4 linked regions of the Canis lupus familiaris genome follow. The protein of the gene in region 3 purifies or fractionates together with the protein of the main gene of each other region. This does not show direct contact. Links are inferred from orthologs where the notes say so. Each region holds a gene or a part of one and is shown on either strand. Other genes may lie near its edges. The genes, in order: UFM1, PIP4P2, CDK5RAP3 and CDKN2A.

Region 1 (4,308 bases), on a different chromosome or scaffold from region 3:
CCGCCTGCAGCCCAGGGTGTGATCCTGGAGACCCGGGATCGAGTCCCACGTCGGGCTCCCTGTGTGGTGCCTGCTTCTCCCTCTGCCTCTGCCTCTGCCTCTCTCTCTCTTTGTGTATCTTTGTGAATAAATAAATAAAATCTTAAAAAAAAAAAATCTTAAAAAAAAATCCTTTTTAGAATTCAACTATTAGTAATGTTAGAAACTCAAAGCACAATTATCTATCAAAGCATTTATTTACTGGCTTTGCAAGTGACAAGTGACATTAAAAAGCCAAAGCAAATTCTCCCGCAAATTTTACGAATGGCATTTAACAGTACCCAAGTACTAGTTACCACTTACTTCGAATACGAAGTATAGCAGAATTAACTTTACATACATGCACATGTCATACATATTTTATATACACACATATCCATATACAGATTATACATACACACCAAACAGTAGGTATGTCTATTAAATTCATTCAGTCATGAATATTAATTGAACTAGTAAAAAGTTCTGGGCACTCTTACAGATACTACTGCTGTCCTACTCTGTCCTTTTTCCCTCCTGTTCTAGAGAATTATCTACACACTGATGAGAATAATCCTATAAAGGGAGAAATCAAAGGTGGTGAGGAGAGAGGGATCTCTGGACTCCCATCTACTCTAAGCTTGAGAAGACACAAGTGCCCAAGTGGCACAGCTTGGTTTTTCATAGGAATAAAATCATGTGTTCCTTTGTAAAAGGATGATGAAAAGAAATTATGGGTTTATAAACATAACAATAGCTTTACAGATGTGGTGATGGAAAGATGCATCTTCCTCTGATGGCTTCAGCAAAAGAGAAAAAAAAAGCATTGTAGAAAGTATGAATAGATTTTTAAAAAATCCTTTTAGAGAATAAAGAGATAGGAAAACTTGGGAACTGTAACATAGTGTTAGGTACTATTGAGCACAGTTATGAATTTTATACAAGATCCATCAACCTAGGATCCTACGCCTGGGTGGCTCAGTGGTTGAGTGCCTACCTTTGACTCAGGGCATGATCCCAGGGTCCTGGGATCGAGTCCCACATCGGGCTCCCCATAGGGAGTCTGCTTCTCCCTCTGCCTGTGTCTCTGCCTCTTTCTCTCTCTCATGAATAAATAAATAAAATCTTTTAAAAAAATCCATCAGTCTAGTTATAATTTTCAGTAAAGACCTTTAGTTATGTAGGGAACATAGTGGCTGAGTTCAGAGGTGGTGTTTCACCAAGCAAAACATACTGGGGAAAGAACACCAGAGTTGAGGTGAGTGGACCCACCAGAGAGTAACTGGACCATGGACTCTAAGAGAGTAAGAAGAAAAGGAATGGGGTAAAGCAGTGGAGAGAGGGTAATGATTGATTTAAAAAGAGATGTGATCAATGAATTAAAAGAAACATTTTGGGCAGCCCAGGTGGCTCAGTGGTTTAGTGCCGCCTTCAGCCCAGGGTGTGATTCCTAAGACCGGGGATCAAGTCCCACGTCGGGCTCCCTGCATGGAGCCTGCTTCTCCCTCTGCCTGTGTCTGTGCCTCTCTCTCTGTCTCGGTGTCTCTCATGAATAAATAAAATCTTAAAAAAAAAAAAAAGAAAAGCAAAGAACTTTTTTTTTTTTTTTTTTACAGAAAAAATATTAGAGTAACTCAAATTTAAAAAGAAAACAAGGTCATCCACAAGGGAATACTTGAAAATGACACCTTAGCTGGAGCAGTTACTGAAGGCCTTACGGTTCTAGGCTGCAACCATAACTATGTGAGATAAGATGAAAGATTTACCTGGAGACGAATGATCGAGAAAGCTTAAGGCTGGGAGTTGCATGGGTCAGATAGTTAAGTCACTGAGGCTGATGACAACTGTTAAGAGTTTCGTTAGGTAGGCCTTGATACTAGTTATATTAACTATGAATAAAATCCTACTGAAGTCTTGCCCTTTACCGCATCTTATGCGACTTCCGGCAGCAGTAACCTCAATAATCGTTTGTCTAAAATCACAGAAGATTCCGGGTGAGTATGTTGTTAAACCTGTGCCAACCCATCACTCAACTGCTGAAGGAGAAAACTAGGGCCTCGCGTGCCCTATTTCTGCACTCCCTATTCCCACTTACCACTCTTTATTAAACCCCAACATAGAAAATGTATGATTTGAGGACCAGTACTTTGTGACGCCCGGCTGTTGAGTCACTTGCACAGGAACCAGAAGCCTGACCGTACTCCACGTTCCAGTAATTTCAGAACCTGGACGGGGCTGTCTTCCCTTACTTCCCGTTAGCAGCTGGTCAAAGCAGCAAAGCGCCTTTCCAATCAGAGCAGACAGGGACTGTTCGCGGACCCTCGCAAATCATTAGAGCCCTGCCACACGTCCCCCCGCTCCACCCTCCACCCTCCACCCTCCACCCCCGCCCCGGGAGCCCCGCGGGCCGGTCGGCTAGCAGCCGCGGCGTTCCCGTCCCGTCCCGTCCCGTCCCTGCTCCCTCGCGTCTGCGTCTCCGTCTCCACTGCTGGGGTGGGGGGAAGCTCCAGGAAGGGCAAGGGGGAAGGGAAGGGACGGGATGCAGCCTGCTGGGGTGGGAGAGCGCCCGGAGGCCAGCCTGGTCACCGCCTCTCCTCCCGCAGCCCGCAAGGCCCACCGCCGCCCGCTACTCACACTTTGTAAGGCAGCCGCGGGTCCGACGTCAGCGTGATCTTAAAGGAAACCTTCGACCTGAGGAGGGAAGCCAGAGTGAGTTAAAGCCGTGCAGCAGGGCCAGGGGTTGAGGTTGGGGTCAGCACACACTCACATCGTGGAGCCCTGCGGACCGACACCCCCGCCGACGCCGCCTGCTCGCCCGGGGCCGCGCCACCCCCGCCCCCCCGCCCCAGGCCCACGTCTCCCTCCGCAACCCGGGGGCCTCCAAAGCTTGTGTTGTCTGAGGCACTGCCTGAAAATCGGCTTCGGTTGCTTGTGCTGGGCGGAGCCTCCGTGTTGCAAAGAGCTACTCATTTAGCATTTAAAGTTCTGAGACTAGAGCATGGATCGTATGGAGGAATATTTTTCGAACTGCGGTTATTTCCTGCCGTATTTCCAGTCAGGCAATACAAATGTGGGAAGAGACGGCGGGACGCTAGGTCCCAGCGGGCAGCTTGGGGCGGAAGTGAGGGCACAGAGTAGGCGGGCGCGGCGGGGCGCGGCGGGGCGCGGCGGGGCGCGGCGAGGGGCGGGACGCGGGCGGGACGCGGGCGGGGCTGGGGGCTGGGGGGCCGGGGGGCTGGGGGGCCGGCCTGCCGCGCAGTTGCTAGGGCAACCTGGTCGCCGAAATCCTGGAGTGTTGAGTTCAAGAAGCTGGAATCTTCGCCTCTCTTTAGTATTAGCATTCTTCTGTCTTTCCAGCAATGCAATCCTGTTGTATCTTGCATTTCAACATTTTTTTCCTTAACGCTAGGCAATACTGATGTCAAGTTTCAACAGACGACAGAGGAATAAAGTTGGTGAGAAAGGTAAGATCCCTGTGCTAGAAGAGCTTGGAATATACATGGAAAGGGCAATCCAGGGAGGCCTGGGTGGCTCAGCGGTTTGGCGCCTGCCTTCGGCCCAGGGCGTGACCCTGGAGACCCGGGATCGAGTCCCACGTGGGGCTCCCTGCGTGGAGCCTGCCTCTCCCTCTGTGTCTCCGCCTCCCTCGCTGTGCACGACCCTCACGAATAAATAAGTAAAATCTTTAAGAGAAAGAGCAATCCGTGAGCGGGATTTCACTAGTTTGTTGTGTGGTCTAATAGTATTGCACCAGGGAGCTGGGGCTGGGGCGCCGATCATGAGCACATCTATTCAATTTAATAACAAACTTTGAATCCTTTCTAGTAAAGTTCAGTGCTGCGGATGCTAGAATGGGTAAGAGGGTAGATGCCAACCCTCCATGGTCTAACAAGTTCTTGTATAGTGAAGATAGACCGTATATGCCCTCTGAAGTCTACTACAAATGTAAACATCTGTGTTCGCAAAAATAAACATCCCTCTCCAATGTCTGTAATTCCCTTTTTAAGAAGTATTGCAATGAATTATAAGATAGGAAACAAGTAGGTACTAAAATACTGAGGAAATCTAGATAATCTTTAGGCTATTATGTTAAGATTTCTAAGGAGAGATGTCTAAGAGGAATAGGGAAAGAGCTGCAGGAGGAATGTGAAAGACCAATTTCCGTAATTTTGTGTCAGTGCTGTTCTGTGGCGACAGCTCCCCGGGGAGAGAATGCAGACTCTGACTTAGGAAAGAAAGGCTTCAGTATGATGCATGGCACCTGATTTTTTTTTTTTTTTCCGATAAGAA
Region 2 (2,392 bases), on a different chromosome or scaffold from region 3:
AGTACTTTTATGTGATTTGTTTTGAGGTTTTACTTAGAAAGTTTTTCTTTAACACAAGATTATATGGATATTCACTTATATATTCTGTAACAAAATATAAAGACTAAACCCAAGGGATAAAATTTTAACATACCAATTCATCCATCATTTATTCATTCATGCAACAAATATCTACTGAATACAAATGCACTAGGTGCTGTTCTAAATGCTGAAGATAAAGCAGTGAGAAAGGCCACCCAAGTTCCTACTATCACGGAATTATAGTCCAAAAGGAAAAAGATCATGCAGCATATAATTTAATGTGGGTTTGCTGTTACAACTAGTTAGCCATTAAGAAATAAATTAGATTCTTATTTCATACCTTACATCAAATGTATTACTAATGGATTTAAAATCTGTATTTCTAAAATGAAAGCAGGAAAATACTAGAAAAAAAATAAGTGAATATTATATAAAGAAATATTACATATGTTCTTAAACACGAAAACTCCTTTTAGAGTAATAACTCAAGGCAATTTTGGAAACACCATTTTATTTTTAAAAAATGGAAATATAACAAGGTAATTTTTGAACAATAATCTTTATTAGCGTATTTTCAAAGGTACATATAATCCTGAGCTACTGCATTTAAACATTTATCATTTACTCTTTAAAGTTTACACATATTTTGCTCCAAATTCTCTGATGAGTACATTTTTATACTAGTCAGGAACATAAATATTTAAATTATTATTCTTATCTCTGGAATAGCCAATTAATTTACTCATATTATCCCCTTATCTTAATTCTACTATATTAAAGGCTTTAGAACATTATTTCTCAATTAAGCAATTTCTTTTCCAAAACTGCAAAGATGGGCAGTGCGAGAGCTGATTCCTTAAATCTTAGTGAATTCTTAGAAAACTATGTTGTTTTTTGTCTGTGATCTACCTTCTTGAATAAGTTGGGTAACTATCAGACCAGACTATATTTGAGAAGAATGATAAGAATAACTACCTCTAATCTCAACATTTTAGCTAGTGTAAAATGTCACAGGCTCTCTTCTCATATAAGTAGTCCATAATTAGCCCAATAAGGAAAATTCACCATGATCCAATGTAAAGGGGGGCAACTTAAGGTAAATATATCTTTGTTCAAATGGTTATTATAAAACATGTTATGTGAAATACTTCCTCCAACATCTATAAAGGAATACATACAGCTGATTAACATTAAATTTCATAAATCTAGACCAGAACTTCTAAAATTAGTAAATAAAAAAGCAGACAAAAATGAAAGACAAAAGTCCTGTGATCTTTGAGAAAAAACATTTATCCAACATTATCTCCAACTGTGGACAAATAAATATTTTCATTCTTGTATTTTAAATTACTACCAAAATATTGTATCTTTCTACAAACAACAAAAAACAAGCATACAGTATCTAGAAATGGTTTTTATCTGACAAGAATGTCAAGTCTTTGAAGGTACACTCAATTTTTTTTTTTTTCCTGAATAAGGTCACTATGATCTTAGGTTAAAGTTACAGTAAGCAGTTCAAGCAAAATGCATATTGCTTAGATTTTAAAGCGAGCAATTTTGATACTGTTTAACTAAAATGTGAGTATAAATGTGAAGCTATTGTAGAAATATTTATAAATACTCCTTGGGAATACTCACAGATCAGCAAGTAATGGAACTGATTTAAAAACAATAATGGAAAGGTGATGTTACATGTAATGTTTGGCAAATCCAAAATATCTTTAAGAGATGTAAAAGAACATGAAGACACAGTTTTATTATTCAGAGCTTTGAAAACCTAGCAGCAAAACAAACTGTTTGCATATAATGTAGTGCAATGAGCATTTGTTCATAAAACACTCCCAAAGTCTTGGAACTTTATACAGAAACCAGAATGGAATCCATTAGGATGAATGACTCAAAGATGCCCAGAGTAGCTTATCAAGAACTGCCAGATACTCTCACCTGCATCACCAAGTTACAAGCAAGCTTATGCAAAACTATGTTCTGGGTAACTCACTCGTATGGCTCCCCAATAGCAAGCTCGGATAAGGCAAATCAAACCTAAGAGATAAGCAATTGCCCAAGAAACATAGGTTGCATGAAATCGCCTTGCAAAATCTTGGGTGCCAACCTAAAATAAAAAGCAATATAATAACAAAAGATTAAAAACTTTAACCAAAGGTTTATTTAAAGAGCTTGTGTTGGCTTATATGTGATTTTTAGGAAATACATCCCTAAGGCCACAATGTCCCTATGAAATAGGAGTTGATGCATTTGTGGACTATCACTGACAGAGTCAAATTTAGTAAGACAATATTGCCGGTTATATTAACTATGAATTTTATGCAAAAAAAAAAAAAAAAGCCCACTTGAACATGGTGTTTCTATA
Region 3 (4,131 bases):
TTCTCCATAATATTTTTGCTTCCATGGGTAATTATATCTTTCTTACTGACAGAGGATGCTTTCAACTTCCACTTCCTCAGGGCTGGGATTAACCATGACAATGGAAAATACAAGATGATTATGCCAAGTACCGGATGAATGAACAACTGTAAAGCCCCTAATACCTGCAGCGCCCTAAGGACTAGGTAACACTGGTACTCTCAACAGTGAAGAACTGCCTGGCACCACAAGAACACCAACGTGACTGACCTCCTGGACTCTGGGCCCAGATCTGTTTTTAGGAGAGGGTGTGGGTGGATGAGAGCCATGCATGTTTCCTCAGTAGGAGACAGCTAAGAGCTAGGTTTTGTGGTCAGATGGTCCTGGTTTCTAATTATTACCCCCACCCCCTTTTTTTAAGACTGATTTATTTGAGAGAGAGAAAGAGAGAGCATGTGAGCATGGGGAGGGGGGGTAGAAGGAGAGAGAACCTTAGGCAGACTCCCCACTGAGCACAGAGCCCAACATGGGGCTTAATCCCACAACCCAGAGACCATGACCTGAGCCGAAATCAAGACCCTTAACTGACTGAGCCACCGAGGCGCCCCTAATTATCAACTTTAAGTCTCTCAACCATTCTGTGCGTCAAGTTTCCCCACATATAAAATGGAGATAAGATATTGAACACAAGAGAGAATGGAGTACTGTGCCTGGCATATGACAAGGACTCAATAAATCCAAGTAAAATATGCTCATTTTTGCAATGTCAAGTGCCTAAAACAGCACCTGGTAGAGCAAAGACTCAACGAATGGTTGTTGTTTTCCTGGTCCTTTTCACAGCCAATGACAAGTTCATGCACCAAGAGTGCACAAATGCTGAAGAACTGGGACAAATCTGAATTTTTCTCCGTTATGGGGACACCTGGGTGGCTCAGTGGTTGAGCTTCTGCCTTTGGCTCAGGGCCTGATCCTGGGGTCCTGGGATTGCCTGCATCGGGCTTCCCACAAGGAGACTGCCTCTCTCTCTCTTGAATACATAAATAAATAAAAATATATTTAAAAAAAGAAGCTCCAGGGCAGCCTGGGTGGCTCAGCGGTTTAGTGCCTGCCTTTGGCTCAGGGCATGATCCTGGAATCCTGGGATTGAGTCCGAAGTCGGGCTTGCTGCATGGAGCTTACTTCTCCCTCTGTCTGTGTCTCTGCCTCTCTCTCTCTCTCTCTGTGTCTCTCATGAATAAATAAATCTTTTTAAAAATTTAAAAAAAAAGCTCTATTACGTGGCCACTGCATAGAACTCACTAAATAGTCCACAGTAGTGAACTGAGAACCCTGCCCTTGTTAACATACCTGCCAACTGATCAAACACTGTGCTCTCACACTAGTTTTCAGCTATATCCCCTCGCTGTATTCCTCTGAAACCTTCAAAAAGAAAAACTCTGTAGATACAATAAAACTAGAAGGGGATGAGGTAGTCAGATGTCATTTTTTTTTAAGGATCTTATTTATTCATGAGAGACAGAGAGGCAGGGAGACACAGGCAGAGGGAGAAGTAGGCTCCATGCAGGGATCCCGATGTGGGACTCGATCCCCGGACTCCAGGATCAGGCCCTGGGCTGAAGGCGGCGCTAAACCGCGGAGCCACCCAGCCTGTCCTAGTCAGATGTCATCTTAATGACAAAACTGACATCAAATCCATTAATGCAATTAGCATTTTACAATCCAGGAGTAGTGCACTTGCCTAGAAGGGTCATATATGAGGAGGTCCTTCCCTGGCTCTGAACTGAGGAGGTATTTAGATCAGATATAGACAGCAGGAAGGTGGCCTGCCCACTAAAAGGTCTTTGTTCCCAATTGGGTCTATGTCCCTCTTCCTCCTAAAATCAGGGGAAGATGGAAGCTTTTCTCTTTAAAAAAAAAGGGGGGGGCGGTGTGCCTGGGTGGCTCAGTGGTTGAGCATCTGTCTTCAGCTCAGGACATGATCCTGGGGTCCTGGGATCGAGTCCCACATCCGGCTCCCTACCGGGAGCCTGCTTCTCCCTCTGCCTGTGTCTCCACGGCTCTCTGTGTCTCTCATGAATAAATAATTTATTTTAAAAGGAGGGAAGTTTTTTCTATACAAAAAGCATAGACATTGGAGTCCGACAGACTCGAACTCTAACTTCCTATCTGCCACTTAGTAGCTGACCGTCTTTACAGTAAGCCACTAATCTGGGCCTGATGATTGACCGCACGTGTCATGATGCTATACGGTGGAAGCCGAAGGTTCAAGTACAGACTATGTACGGTTCCTTCCCGCTCCTCCGAGCGCGGCAGGCAGACGCGGCTGGGAGCAGATCACCGCGAGTGGTCAGCGCCTCAGCAGGGGCCTTGGGGCATCGGGGCTCCCAGCTGTTGGCGACAGGCAGCAAAGGGCAGGGCCTCCCCCTGGCAGCCGGTTGCGCGGGGCGTCCCCTCCTACCGAGCAGCTTGCTGGTCTGGATGTCGATGGGCACGTGCTGATGGTCCTGGAGGGAAACACGCCGGGGAACGGGGCGTGAGCGCGCCGAGGGGGCGTGCCCCCTGCGCGCTCGGTTCAGGGGCCCAACCGCCGCCCTGCGGGGCCAGAATGACGGGCCCGGGGTGGGGGGCGCGCCCGGGAGAGAGGCCGGCGACGCGGGCCAGGAACTGACGGGCCGAATTCAGCCCGGGTCCCCGGAGCAGCCCCCCACAGCCCCCAGCTCCAGGCCCCACACCTGCATCTTCCTCCACTTCCGCTTCCGGCTGGCGACCCACGCCAGCCCCACCTACAACCAATCGCGCGCGGGGCTAGCGGAGCCTCTGTCTAGGCCCGAACGCGCCTCCTCCGGCCACGTAGCCACCTTCCTCCGAGCCAATCGGGACGCGCGCTCCTCCCCTGGCCACAAGCCCCACCCACCTCGGGGCTCCGAATGGCTGAGCCCGGAGAGGCGGGAGGACGGGAGTCAGCCAATGGGAGACGCGAGGCGGGCTCAGGGCTGGAGAGGGGCGGGGCGCCGAGAAAAGGCTGCAGGGGCGGCGAGCTCGCGGCAGGGGACGCCCGAGAGCTGACACCCGCCGCTTGCGGCTAGGTGGCCACCGAGCCTCCGGTGCTAGGATTACCTGGCTCGCCGAGAGGGTCCTAGCGCTGACCCTGGACACCCGGAGGCCGTTAGAAATGCCTCCTTCCCGCCTTGCCTGGCTTTACGTCCGTCGTCGTTTGTGGGTGGCACTTGTCACATTTTGCCTTCCCGTTGAGTTTCTCTGATAGACATGTGTTGAGTACCTGCTACCTGTTGGGTAGATTAGGGCGGGGAAGGGGAGGCATCCCCAAGATAACACCTACATCGAGTCTTCAAAAGAAGAGCTGGGGCAGCCCTGGTGGCTCAGCAGTTTAGCGCCGCCTTCGGCCCAGGGCCTGATCCTGGAGTCCCAGGATCGAGTCCCACGTCGGGCTCCCTGCATGGAGCCTGCTTCTCCTTCTGCCTGTGTCTCTGCCTCTCTCTCTCTCTATCTCTCATGAATAAATAAATAAAATCTTTTAAAAAATAAATGAATTAATAAAATAAAAGCTGCAGGAGCACCCTGGTGGCTCTGTGGCTGAGCATCTGCCTTTGGCTCAGGGAGTGAACCTGGGGTCCTGGGCTCCTTCCTGCATCAGGCTCCCTGCAGGGAGCCTGCTTCTCCCTCTGCCTCTCTCTCTGTGTCTCTCATGAATAAATAATAAATAAAACCTTTAAATGAACGAATAAATAAATAAATAAATAAATAAATAAATAAATAAATAAATAATTTTTTATGATGGAAGAATTTCAAGAGGGCACCCCGACCGACGGGTCTCACGCTGATGATGCTGGTGGTGGCAGTGGCAGTGAAGGCAGGCCAGCATTTGTGCAGTAAAAAGTTTGGGGCAAGGAGTGGCCAGCCAGGAGACTGTAAAGGTGGAAAGGTCCTATCATAGGGAGGAGCCTCATGAAGGAACTTGGACTTCACCCCTGCAGACAGGGAGGAACCACTAGAGGAGGGTTTGAAGGGTTTGAAGCGGGGAAGGACCTGTGACCGCAGAGGATAGATTCGCGAGAGATAAGACTGGAGACAGGTAGACTGTCAGGAGGTTATTATTGCAGAGATTAGGGCCTGATGGAGGACAAGACAGGA
Region 4 (4,059 bases), on a different chromosome or scaffold from region 3:
CATTATATTCTCCAAACTTTTGCGGAATTCCAGCCACACCCTATTGTCTGTCAGAGGCATGACAATAGCAAAAGAGTGAGAGACGAACTGGCTTGAACTATAGCCTAACCTCCTATAGCCCCCCCACCCATTTTGATACAAAATTATATAAGGCCCAGAGATTTTGTATGGTTTTCTGTTGTATATCCAAGCCCAGGACATAATAATTGTTAAAAAGTGAAAGTGAAAACAACAACAAATCTTTAATTCCTAAAAAACTTTTAATATACACTTAGCCTACCAGAATGTTAAAATTCACTCTAAGTATAAAATGAGGGTTCTCTAACCAGCCCCCAAATTCCTTCCCATAATGAGCTGAAGAATGTCCCCAAAGATGTGTACTACCTAACACTTGAAAGCTGTGAATATAATACCTTACATGGGAAGAGAGGCTTCCCAGATGTGATTAAATTAAGGATTTTGAGAGAGATTAACATGGATTATCAGGATGGGCCCAATGTAATCACAAATTCCCTTATGAGGTTACAGAAGAAAGATCTAAGAATGGAGGTCAGAGAGAAGAAGATGCAGGGACCATGAGCACAGGAATGTTGATGGCCATTAGAAGTTGGAAACAGATTCTCCCCTAGAACTTCCAAAAGAAATGCAGCATTGTGGATCCATTTTAGACTTCAACCTCCAGAACTATAAGATAATAAATTTATGTTGGTTTGAGACACAAAAGTTGTGGTAATTTGTTACAGCAGAAATAGGAAACTAAGAAACTTCCCAAGTTTATATACTCTGAGAGTTCATTAAACAGGAGGTGCTCCCTTCATTTGTTTGATAAATCGTCTTTGAAACAAAGTCATTACCAAAGAGGATTTTTTAAATAGTATCTACAATCACAGCAACCTTACAATTTGAGTGTTACATGGCAGATGGCAGTGGTAGATAATTTTCTTTTAGGCTAACCACTATTTGATTATATTAGCTAGACTTATAGTGACTGTATAAAAAGGAATTATTTTTAATTACATTCTGCATTAAACGTAAATAATTATTTCTCTAAGCCAAGGAACATCTGCGAAGCCTCTTTTCCCATGTAAGGTAACATACACTTAACTGATTTTAAAGGTTTTCATTATATTTTGCAGTATTAAAGTATGAAAGAAACCTAACACTTAAATACTTAAATCTAAATAGCAATCCAAAGCTGAAAGAAAAAGAATCGATTAAATGAATATTTGTAGAGTGCTTAAATCCATTTGATAAGATATTTAAAGTAATTATAATTTTCTATAAACTAATTAGTTTTGTATTAAACACAAGGTTGGTTAGGGTTCTAAACCAAAACCATGCACTCTTTTCTCTATGTTCTTATTTTCCCTATTAAAAAAATTGTTAAAACTAATTATCCAACTTTTTTCTTTTTGTATTTAAACAAAGTCTCTTCAAACATATTCCAAACTTCAAGGCCACACTCAGTCTCTGAGCAAAATCTTAGAGAAATGAGAAATCATGCATGCATTCTTTTTAAAGGACTCATGGTTTTCTTCTACCATCACACAACCTCTCTACTCTCAAAATCCCTTCACACTTAAAATCCCAAATAATCTCAAGTTTTAAGGCATTTTGTTTTTATTTTTATATATGTATGTTAAGGTATATAAAATTTATCCTATGTAGCATTGTTTCAGGAAAGGAAGATGACTTGTGAAATCTGTGCAATTGCAGGTACAGTTACTTTCCTTTGTCTTGTTATGCTTGAATTTGTGCAGTGAGCCTTTGTTTCACATACATTTTATTTTTCACAATCCAAAATCATTGTCAACACTGGGAATAAAACTAGGGTGGTGACGAACAGGGAGAAATAGGGTTTTTTGGTTTTGGGTTTTTTTTTTTTTTTTTTTTAGCCTGGATTTAGGAATTTAGTGAAGGCAAACAACAACAGCAAATACCCAGCACCCCCACCCCCACCCACAACCGGAGTCAGGAGGGAAGAAACCACATTTCTGAACCGTGAGGAATCCAAAACTCTCTCAACTGCGTTAATCTATAGCAAGTCAAAAGTAACAAAAATAATAGGAGGTACCCTCAAAATGGTAGCTAAATCGACGGCATTATCTCAGGCAAGATCACACTGTTTTTCTTCATCTATGTCTGTCTGTATTCCCTAAATTCTCACAAGCACAGATGTGCCATACACGGTTAAAGTAAAAATAAACACAACATGCAGTTGCTTCTGAACAATTTCAATGAATATTTATTCAATTTACACAGCAGAAGGTTTCCAGTACAATCGCCGCTAGCACAGAAGATGATCCGCTCCCTTCAGGGGTCTATGAGTTCCGGCCTAGTGGGCCCAACAAATCTTCCATTTCTTTAAAATCTTGCTTTACGTTCGTAACTGTGTATCAGATGGAGAGCACACCTCGGACTATATTAACACGAACAGGCTCCCCCCTCCCGATCTCAGACCAGACATCTGCCCTGCACGTGCCTCCCCATCTCCCCTCCCCCCCCCCCCCCCCCCCCCCCCGCGGCTTCCTCTGCCCCCAGGACGCGGACACTGGAAGCTCCGGGCTCCAGACACCACCTGGGACCTCACCAGGGAGTCTCCCCGTCCCCGACCAGCGACCGGCAGACCTGGAGGACTCCCTTGCAAACCCTGTGCCGCACAGTCGTCCGCCACCGCCTCCTCCCGCCGCCCGCGCGCTCACCCACCTGAATCGGGCTCCGACCCAGGCGGTTCGGCGCGTCGGGAGGCGCCCCCGCCGCGAGCAGCGCCCGCACCTCGTCCGCGCGGCCCCGGGCTGCCGCCGAGGCCAGCCAGTCGGCGAAGGGCTCCATGCTGCTCCCGAGCGCGGGCCCCCGGCTCCCTCCCTCCCTCCCTCCTTCCCGCCGCGGCCGTCGGGCGCCAGCGGCCCGCCCCAGCCTCTCGTGACCCGCCCGCCCCTCCTCTCCCCTCCTCTCCCCTCCTCCGGGGCCGGCGGAAGCGGCCCCCAGACTCGGCCCCTCGACTCCTCCAACCCGACTCTTTCAATCCAGGAGAGCGCCCTCCGCTCTCAACTCGCTGCGAAACGAGTCGCCCCACGCGTGGCCTCTGCCGTCTCGGTTCCACGGCTCCCCCAGGGGAGCACGACCGAGCCGCGGGGGCAGGGAGCCGCGGGCCGCCCCACAGCTGCCCTCGCGCCGCGTCGCTCCGCGCTCCGCCCCGCCTGCGCTCCCCGAGCCGGGCGCTGCCCCCCCGCCCCTCCCCCCGCTGCCCATCGCCCCCCGCCCCTCCCCCGTCGCCCGTCGCCCCCTCCCCCGGCCGCCCATGGCGCCCCGCCCCCCCCCCCGCCGCCCATTGCGCCCCTGTCGCCCCTCCCCCGTCGCCCGTCGCCCCCCGCCCCTCCCCCGTCGCCCGTCGCCCCCTCCCCCGGCCGCCCATTGCGCCCCGCCCCCCCCCGCCGCCCATCACCCCTCCCCCCGCCGCCCATTGCGCCCCTGTCGCCCCTCCCCCGTCGCCCGTCGCCCCCCGCCCCTCCCCCGTCGCCCGTCGCCCCCTCCCCCGGCCGCCCATTGCGCCCCGCCCCCCCCACCGCCCATCACCCCTCCCCCCGCCGCCCCTTGCGCCCCTGTCGCCCCTCCCCCGTCGCCCGTCGCCCCCCCCGCCCCTCCCCCGTCGCCCCTCCCCCAGCCGCCCATTGCGCCCCGCCCCTCCCCCCGCCGCCCATCGCTCCTCCCCCCGCCGCCCATTGCGCCCCCCTCGCCCATCGCCCCCCCGCCCCTCCCCCGTCGCCCGTCGCCCCCTCCCCCCGCCGCCCATGGCGCCCCGCCCCTCCCCCCGCCGCCCATCGACCTCCCCCCGCCCCTTCCCCGTCGCCCATCACCCCCTCCCCCCGCCGTCCATCGCCCCCCCCCCGCCCCTTTCCCGTCGCCCATTACCACCCCCCCCCGCCCTTCCCCGTCGCCCATCACCCCCTCCCCCCGCCGCCCATCGCCCCCCCGCCCCTTTCCCGTCGCCCATTACCACCCCCCCGCCCTTCCCCGCCGCCCATCGCCCCCCCCCGCCCCTTCCCGGTCTCCCATCAC

What was found.
Region 1: the proteins of CDK5RAP3 (region 3) and UFM1 purify together in Homo sapiens (co-immunoprecipitation; 3 studies listed by BioGRID and IntAct, with this or other methods). This does not show direct contact. The link is inferred for Canis lupus familiaris from reciprocal best matches to the Homo sapiens genes CDK5RAP3 and UFM1.
Region 2: the proteins of CDK5RAP3 (region 3) and PIP4P2 purify together in Homo sapiens (affinity purification with mass spectrometry; 3 studies listed by BioGRID and IntAct, counting the BioPlex papers as one, with this or other methods). This does not show direct contact. The link is inferred for Canis lupus familiaris from reciprocal best matches to the Homo sapiens genes CDK5RAP3 and PIP4P2.
Region 4: the proteins of CDK5RAP3 (region 3) and CDKN2A purify together in Homo sapiens (affinity purification with western blotting; 3 studies listed by BioGRID). This does not show direct contact. The link is inferred for Canis lupus familiaris from reciprocal best matches to the Homo sapiens genes CDK5RAP3 and CDKN2A.

Annotation. Positions count from the first base shown.
Region 1 is NC_049246.1:2,607,809-2,612,116, forward strand, and holds the start of UFM1 (ubiquitin-fold modifier 1), read right to left. Parts: upstream 2,855-4,308; 5' UTR 2,788-2,854; coding exon 2,786-2,787; intron 2,710-2,785; coding exon 2,653-2,709; intron 1-2,652. UniProt on the Homo sapiens protein: Ubiquitin-like modifier which can be covalently attached via an isopeptide bond to lysine residues of substrate proteins as a monomer or a lysine-linked polymer.
Region 2 is NC_049250.1:37,017,065-37,019,456, forward strand, and holds the end of PIP4P2 (type 2 phosphatidylinositol 4,5-bisphosphate 4-phosphatase), read right to left. Parts: intron 2,135-2,392; coding exon 1,991-2,134; 3' UTR 562-1,990; downstream 1-561. UniProt on the Homo sapiens protein: Catalyzes the hydrolysis of phosphatidylinositol-4,5-bisphosphate (PtdIns-4,5-P2) to phosphatidylinositol-4-phosphate (PtdIns-4-P).
Region 3 is NC_049230.1:24,226,305-24,230,435, reverse strand, and holds the start of CDK5RAP3 (CDK5 regulatory subunit-associated protein 3), read right to left. Parts: upstream 2,825-4,131; 5' UTR 2,718-2,824; coding exon 2,712-2,717; intron 2,484-2,711; coding exon 2,438-2,483; intron 1-2,437. UniProt on the Homo sapiens protein: Substrate adapter of E3 ligase complexes mediating ufmylation, the covalent attachment of the ubiquitin-like modifier UFM1 to substrate proteins, and which is involved in various processes, such as ribosome recycling and reticulophagy (also called ER-phagy).
Region 4 is NC_049232.1:41,339,985-41,344,043, forward strand, and holds the start of CDKN2A (cyclin-dependent kinase inhibitor 2A), read right to left. Parts: upstream 2,845-4,059; 5' UTR 2,833-2,844; coding exon 2,707-2,832; intron 1-2,706. UniProt on the Homo sapiens protein: Acts as a negative regulator of the proliferation of normal cells by interacting strongly with CDK4 and CDK6. This inhibits their ability to interact with cyclins D and to phosphorylate the retinoblastoma protein.